Linked DNA regions of Saccharomyces cerevisiae S288C. Each later gene encodes a partner of the first gene's protein in a complex. Each region holds a gene or a part of one and is shown on either strand. Other genes may lie near its edges. A codon is read from its position in the direction of its gene.

Region 1 (3,250 bases):
TACAGCACTTGGTCTTCATGTTGGAAAGAGTTATCGATTTTATGCCAGCTGGTCAAGACTCTCTAGCTTTGCTAATAGACTTTAAAGATTACCCTGATGTTCCTAAAGTACCTGGCAATAGTAAAATCCCACCTATTGGTGTAGGGAAAGAAGTGCTGCATATTCTACAAACTCATTATCCAGAAAGACTAGGAAAAGCACTTTTGACGAATATTCCTTGGTTAGCATGGACTTTCTTGAAGTTAATTCACCCTTTTATTGACCCACTGACCCGTGAAAAGCTAGTTTTTGATGAACCATTTGTTAAATATGTCCCTAAGAACGAACTAGATTCGTTGTATGGTGGTGATCTGAAATTCAAGTACAATCATGATGTTTATTGGCCAGCTCTGGTGGAAACCGCGCGTGAAAAAAGAGATCATTATTTTAAGAGGTTTCAAAGCTTCGGTGGTATTGTAGGTTTAAGTGAGGTTGATTTAAGAGGTACTCATGAAAAACTTCTTTACCCAGTAAAATCGGAAAGCAGTACCGTGTAAAGGCAAATTTAGATAGATAATGATAATGCACTATAATATATAATAAATAAAAGAGAATAAAAAGTTTAATCACGTTCCCGCTTCTTTTTCCTAACCATCAAAGAATGCAATCTAAAGAAGAAGAAGCGAATACCCTCTTTTAAATATATACGCGTCTATATGCACTGTAGATAAGCTGTTACATATCAAAAAGGTTTGGCACATTTGCGCTTTTCTGTAGCGCCTGTAACCGGTGAAGTCATCATTTGCCAGTCTGTAGCATACATCAATCCACCAGCACCATTAGCAGCTCTGGCGAACACGACCCCAAGGTCATTCCTTGCAGTGGTCAAATAGTAGTTGGTTCCGTCACCTAATGATAAAACTTGCGCCCTAACAATATCTCCCGGCTTGAAACATTCTATCACTTTCACACGATCTCTGTCTGTAGACCGTACATCCTGAGACCTGATTATACCTCTGAATGTCTCACCTAAATCTGATGATGCTTGAGAAACAGAGAACGTAGCTGCTCCAGAACCGCCACCAGCAGCGACTATTCCCGATCCATTACTGCCGATGCCACTATCAATTGGAGATGGTTTATCTTCCACAGCTAAAATTTCGACATTGGCTCGTTGCAACGAAAGCCTTGTCACCCTGGTCAGCACAATATCACCTTCCTTCGGTAGGTTATTGGCAAAATCATTATTAGCATATTTGTTGGTTTTACGACCCTTTTCTGTCCCAGGAAGCACTGAAACCAGAATATTTTTTACAGTTCTTCTTGTGACATCATTAGGTGATGCATCTACTGATTTTTCTTCCTCTGTAGATTGATCAGTGCCTTCACGCTCTTCTTCCTGATCAGTTTTTTTTTCTTCCTCACACCTCACTGTCCCAACTAGTGTAGCAGTTATAGCTTCTAAAGTTCGTCCGTTGTGTTCATATTGAATTAGTTTAGTTCCGGGACCGGGCACATAATTGAAAATTATATCTTCGCCATCTTTATTTTCCGTACCGTACTGTGGGCATATTAGTTTACCTGGATAAGCTATTTCTGGAAACTGAAAATTGCATGCCATTATAATACACTTATAGATTGAGGTATTCAATGCTCTGGAAAAAATCAAAGAATCTTTAATATACAAATGCGTAGTTAATCATGCCGTACCATAAGCTCATCATCAGTGAATTCTGGATCTTATTTTTCTTTCTTTTTTCAATATTTTTTGGAAATTTTTACTTCACGTGACGGAGACGGGTAATGCAGACGGTATTTTGAAATGATGCCGCAAATACAACACATAACACCCAAGATTCTTGCGATAAATTATAGGTTTATAAAAACTAGAATGTCTTGATATGTATGATTTGATTCATTTCCATTTCTCCCAGTTTTCTGCTCTAATAAAAATGTGTGTAACATCGCGAATCATCGTGTACTTCCATTGCGCTCTTTAACTCATTTAATTCCAATTTGATCATTTGAGCCAGTTGTGGAGTAAGCTGGTTACAAGTGGAAATTTCTGGATGTCTATCATATTCGAATTCTCCATAAGTGTCGTAAAGTATTATCTGGGACGAAAACCGGACACCCTGGTCATTATTACTGTTTACATACACCTCACCTAGACTTGTTAAGTCTGATTTTACGGGAGAATCAGGCGTCATGGAGTCAATAAAAGAAGTATTCATTCTTGGGGCTTTTAGTCCTTTAAAGGACATTGAAACAGGTCTATTGGGTTCGAATTCTGGTAAATATGCATTATTTCTTGGAGTAACTTCTATGGGCTGTTCTATGTGTTTGTTGAAATCTTCATTCTCAAATTCGTTGTCATTTATTTCACTTCCGTCTTGTTCAAATGTATGTAATTGACCTTGACGCTCATCTCCGTATGTAGTAGCTCCAGCAGCGGAATAAGATTGAGTTTCTCTTTCTTTGTAACTATCCTCTTTGTTATTTCGTGTATCAAAAGTACCAGAGCGATTTACTTCATCATTTCCAACAGGTTCAGGGGTTTCTGTTGCATATGAGGCCGTTGTATCTCCCAAGTCTAGGTCTAGATTGAGATCATCATCACCGAAGTTAATAAAACTTGCAAACTCCATTATATCAGAAATTAACTCGTTATCATCATCTGCAAAAACGCTTTGCCTTTCAGAATCCTTCTTCAGAGGTTCTTCTCTTGGTTTTGGTACATCCCTTTCAACTTCAGTTTTTTCTTCATCAGAGGCCATCACTAGCTGGTCAAATTTTTGTTCAATAGACTCTAAAAATATGTCATCTTTTTTTAGTGGACCACTATCGTCCTTGATATCTAAAAAGTCCTCATTCGTGGTACCTTCGTAAGAGTGTTCTCTGGAGAAATTATCTGAGTATTCGAACCTTCCATTCTTTAAAATGCTGCTAGCAGGAGACTTCGTCAAGTCTGGAGTAGATAATACAACAGAAGATGCCTCAGTGATGAACATTCCCTCACTTTGCGCTTTGATCGATAGCGTATCTGTCAATGACCTTCTTTGCGAGTTCATTGAACTTCTCTTGTTAGACTTTGTAGATCTTGTTCTTTCTAAAGAAACGATCGAGTCGACTTCATGATTATCCAAAAATTTTGGGAAAAGAACCTCACCTGTATCGTGTTTGGAAAATGCTGGTGAGGGTGCTTCGTAGTCCAGTGATAAAAAATTATCCTTGGTTGGTAATTGAAGATCATTTTTGGCATCATCATCTT
Region 2 (3,252 bases), on another chromosome or scaffold:
GACGACAGCAATTCGACTGGTGGTTGTTAATTACCCTTTGATCCTCTGATTTAAAGACGTAATCCTTCCTGGGGGTAAGTGCCTGATGTATGGGTCCCCATGCCCTTTTTTTTCGTTTCTTTTTTCACTCCATTTCTTTTTTTTTTTTTTTTTTTGGTGAAAAATTTGCAAGGGCAGCTCATCGCAAGAACGAAAATTTTCAATCCAATATTAAAAGTACTTAAGTGTAGCTGTTGCTGTCTGCACTTCCCAATCCATTGGTACCTTAAGTTATTTCCTTTCGTAGTATTTTTCTTACTTTTGCTTCCCAAAGACGAACTGTTAACCAATTTCGGATCACTCAACCCAGGCAGGATAAAATAAGATGGCTAAGACTACTAAAGTAAAAGGTAACAAGAAGGAAGTTAAGGCTTCCAAACAAGCCAAAGAAGAAAAAGCTAAGGCCGTCTCTTCCTCTTCCTCCGAATCTTCATCCTCATCTTCATCTTCATCTGAATCTGAATCTGAGTCTGAGTCTGAATCTGAATCTTCATCTTCATCTTCATCCTCTGATTCTGAATCCTCTTCTTCATCGTCTTCTGACAGCGAAAGTGAAGCTGAAACCAAGAAGGAAGAATCCAAGGATTCCTCTTCCTCTTCCTCTGACTCTTCTTCCGACGAAGAAGAAGAAGAAGAAAAAGAAGAAACCAAGAAGGAAGAATCAAAAGAATCTTCTAGCTCTGATTCATCCTCATCTTCATCTTCTGATAGCGAAAGCGAAAAGGAAGAGTCTAACGATAAGAAACGTAAATCTGAGGACGCCGAAGAAGAAGAAGACGAAGAGTCTTCCAACAAGAAGCAAAAAAATGAAGAAACCGAAGAACCAGCTACTATTTTCGTTGGTAGACTATCGTGGTCTATTGATGACGAATGGTTGAAGAAGGAATTCGAACACATCGGTGGTGTCATTGGTGCCAGAGTTATTTATGAAAGAGGTACCGATAGATCTCGTGGTTATGGTTACGTTGATTTTGAAAACAAATCTTATGCTGAAAAGGCCATTCAAGAAATGCAAGGTAAGGAAATTGATGGTAGACCAATCAACTGTGATATGTCCACAAGCAAGCCAGCTGGTAACAACGATCGTGCCAAGAAATTCGGTGATACCCCATCTGAACCATCTGACACTTTGTTCTTGGGTAACTTATCTTTCAATGCTGACAGAGACGCTATTTTCGAATTATTCGCTAAACACGGTGAAGTTGTTTCCGTCCGTATCCCAACACATCCAGAAACTGAACAACCAAAAGGTTTCGGTTATGTTCAATTCTCCAACATGGAGGACGCCAAGAAGGCTCTAGACGCTTTACAAGGTGAATACATTGACAACAGACCAGTTAGATTAGACTTCTCTTCTCCAAGACCAAACAACGATGGTGGTCGTGGCGGTAGCCGTGGTTTTGGTGGTCGTGGCGGTGGTCGTGGCGGTAACCGTGGATTCGGTGGTCGTGGTGGCGCTCGCGGTGGCCGTGGCGGTTTCAGACCATCTGGTTCTGGTGCTAATACTGCTCCATTGGGCAGATCAAGAAATACCGCTTCTTTCGCTGGTTCAAAGAAAACATTTGATTAATGAGAAAATGAAATGAATTTCAATTTCAATTTTTTCTCTTTTTACGTTAATTACTATATTCCATTTTTGAGGAAAAATTTGGTCTATAATATTTTGTGTACATTAGTAAGTAAATAGGATACATTCTTAAACCTTTCATTCACCATCTCTATTTGCCAACTTTTCTTCGAATGGCTTACTCTTTTTTTTTTCACGATGAGATGAGATCGCTAGATACGGAAGATTACAAGGCCTTGGAAAATACTCAAAAAATTTCAGTAATATGAAATGAATATCTAAATAAAAGCTTGGGCGTTGTGCTTGATTGAGCCACGAAAACTTCCTTTAAGGATTAGCACATACTCCACTTAAAAGTAGGAACATACTCACATTAAGGTGTTATCAGAATAAATGAATGTTCAAGACAGAAGGAGGTTATTAGGCCCTGCTGCTGCCAAGCCAATGGCGTTTAGCAACACTACTACTCATGTGCCAGAAAAGAAATCAACAGATTTGACACCTAAAGGCAATGAAAGTGAACAGGAACTTTCTCTACATACCGGTTTCATCGAAAACTGCAATGGATCTGCATTAGTAGAAGCTAGAAGCTTAGGACACCAAACATCGCTCATTACCGCTGTCTATGGACCACGCTCCATTAGAGGATCCTTCACATCTCAAGGTACTATATCTATTCAGTTAAAGAACGGTCTTCTGGAAAAATATAACACAAATGAACTGAAGGAAGTTAGCAGCTTTTTAATGGGCATTTTCAATTCAGTAGTAAACCTATCTCGCTACCCCAAGTCCGGCATCGATATCTTCGTTTATTTAACGTATGATAAGGATCTTACAAATAATCCTCAGGACGACGATTCGCAAAGCAAAATGATGTCTTCTCAAATATCATCTCTCATACCACATTGTATCACTAGTATAACGCTAGCCTTAGCTGATGCCGGCATCGAATTAGTGGATATGGCAGGTGCCGGTGAGGCCAATGGCACTGTCGTATCATTCATCAAAAATGGAGAGGAAATTGTAGGTTTTTGGAAGGATGATGGTGACGATGAAGATCTTTTGGAATGCCTTGATCGTTGCAAGGAGCAATATAACCGTTATAGAGATTTAATGATAAGCTGTTTAATGAACCAGGAAACTTAGACACGAGATTATCCTAGTCGGAAAGAAAAGTGAAAGAGGTTAAGAAAAAATTCATGGTAAAAGAAGCGCACAAAGGCATTGTACATCAACATCATAATTTATAATGTCATTCTGCATATATGGTAGCTCCATTATATTACAACAACATAACTACTTCTATTCAAAATGTTAACTTGAATCCTAGTACTTTTTAAATATATATACTCAAAAAAAAAAAACTCAAGCAAGACTATCAAGCGTTTGTTTTATATCCCAAGCGCGATGCGAAATAACGTGAGCGTCACCATTGACTCTCCTCATATACTCAGACGAAAGTTCGACGCCAATTGAGTTCTTAATCAATTGTTTCAAGCTGTCCATCCCGAAGAACTTATTTCCTAATGGACGAAATTTACCATCCTTCAAAACGTTGACTTTCGTCAAAAACTCAGTCAAATCCTTCTCAAACAGTTCAGGTGTCGTGGTATTTAGTACCGGCAATGAAATTTCAAATGGTGTAG

What was found.
Region 2: the proteins of CSL4 (region 1) and MTR3 are in contact, whole or in part, in a cryo-EM structure (PDB 5G06), measured with the Saccharomyces cerevisiae proteins. Residues at the interface, in NP_014167.1 of Saccharomyces cerevisiae: Ile10 (codon at 1,573), Tyr12 (codon at 1,567), Pro13 (codon at 1,564), Gly14 (codon at 1,561), Pro39 (codon at 1,486), Gly40 (codon at 1,483), Thr41 (codon at 1,480), Lys42 (codon at 1,477), Ile44 (codon at 1,471), Gln45 (codon at 1,468), Tyr46 (codon at 1,465), His48 (codon at 1,459), Thr57 (codon at 1,432), Ala58 (codon at 1,429), Thr59 (codon at 1,426), Leu60 (codon at 1,423), Val61 (codon at 1,420), Asn126 (codon at 1,225), Asp127 (codon at 1,222), Phe128 (codon at 1,219), Ala129 (codon at 1,216), Asn130 (codon at 1,213), Leu132 (codon at 1,207), Pro133 (codon at 1,204), Lys134 (codon at 1,201), Gln192 (codon at 1,027), Ala193 (codon at 1,024), Leu197 (codon at 1,012), Gly198 (codon at 1,009), Glu199 (codon at 1,006); in NP_011674.3 of Saccharomyces cerevisiae: Glu54 (codon at 2,159), Asn55 (codon at 2,162), Cys56 (codon at 2,165), Asn57 (codon at 2,168), Tyr78 (codon at 2,231), Gly79 (codon at 2,234), Pro80 (codon at 2,237), Arg81 (codon at 2,240), Ser82 (codon at 2,243), Arg84 (codon at 2,249), Gly85 (codon at 2,252), Ser86 (codon at 2,255), Phe87 (codon at 2,258), Asn126 (codon at 2,375), Arg129 (codon at 2,384), Tyr130 (codon at 2,387), Pro131 (codon at 2,390), Lys132 (codon at 2,393), Ser133 (codon at 2,396), Ala181 (codon at 2,540), Ala183 (codon at 2,546), Gly184 (codon at 2,549), Ile185 (codon at 2,552), Glu186 (codon at 2,555), Leu187 (codon at 2,558), Val188 (codon at 2,561), Asp189 (codon at 2,564), Met190 (codon at 2,567), Lys205 (codon at 2,612), Glu208 (codon at 2,621).

What each region holds. Positions count from the first base shown.
Region 1 is NC_001146.8:213,273-216,522, reverse strand, and holds CSL4 (exosome non-catalytic core subunit CSL4), read right to left. Parts: upstream 1,601-3,250; coding exon 722-1,600; downstream 1-721. Other genes in the region: PDR16 (phosphatidylinositol transporter), read left to right, coding at 1-536; BNI4 (Bni4p), read right to left, coding at 1,923-3,250.
Region 2 is NC_001139.9:804,769-808,020, reverse strand, and holds MTR3 (exosome non-catalytic core subunit MTR3), read left to right. Parts: upstream 1-1,999; coding exon 2,000-2,752; downstream 2,753-3,252. Other genes in the region: NSR1 (Nsr1p), read left to right, coding at 365-1,609; CHO2 (phosphatidylethanolamine N-methyltransferase), read right to left, coding at 2,972-3,252.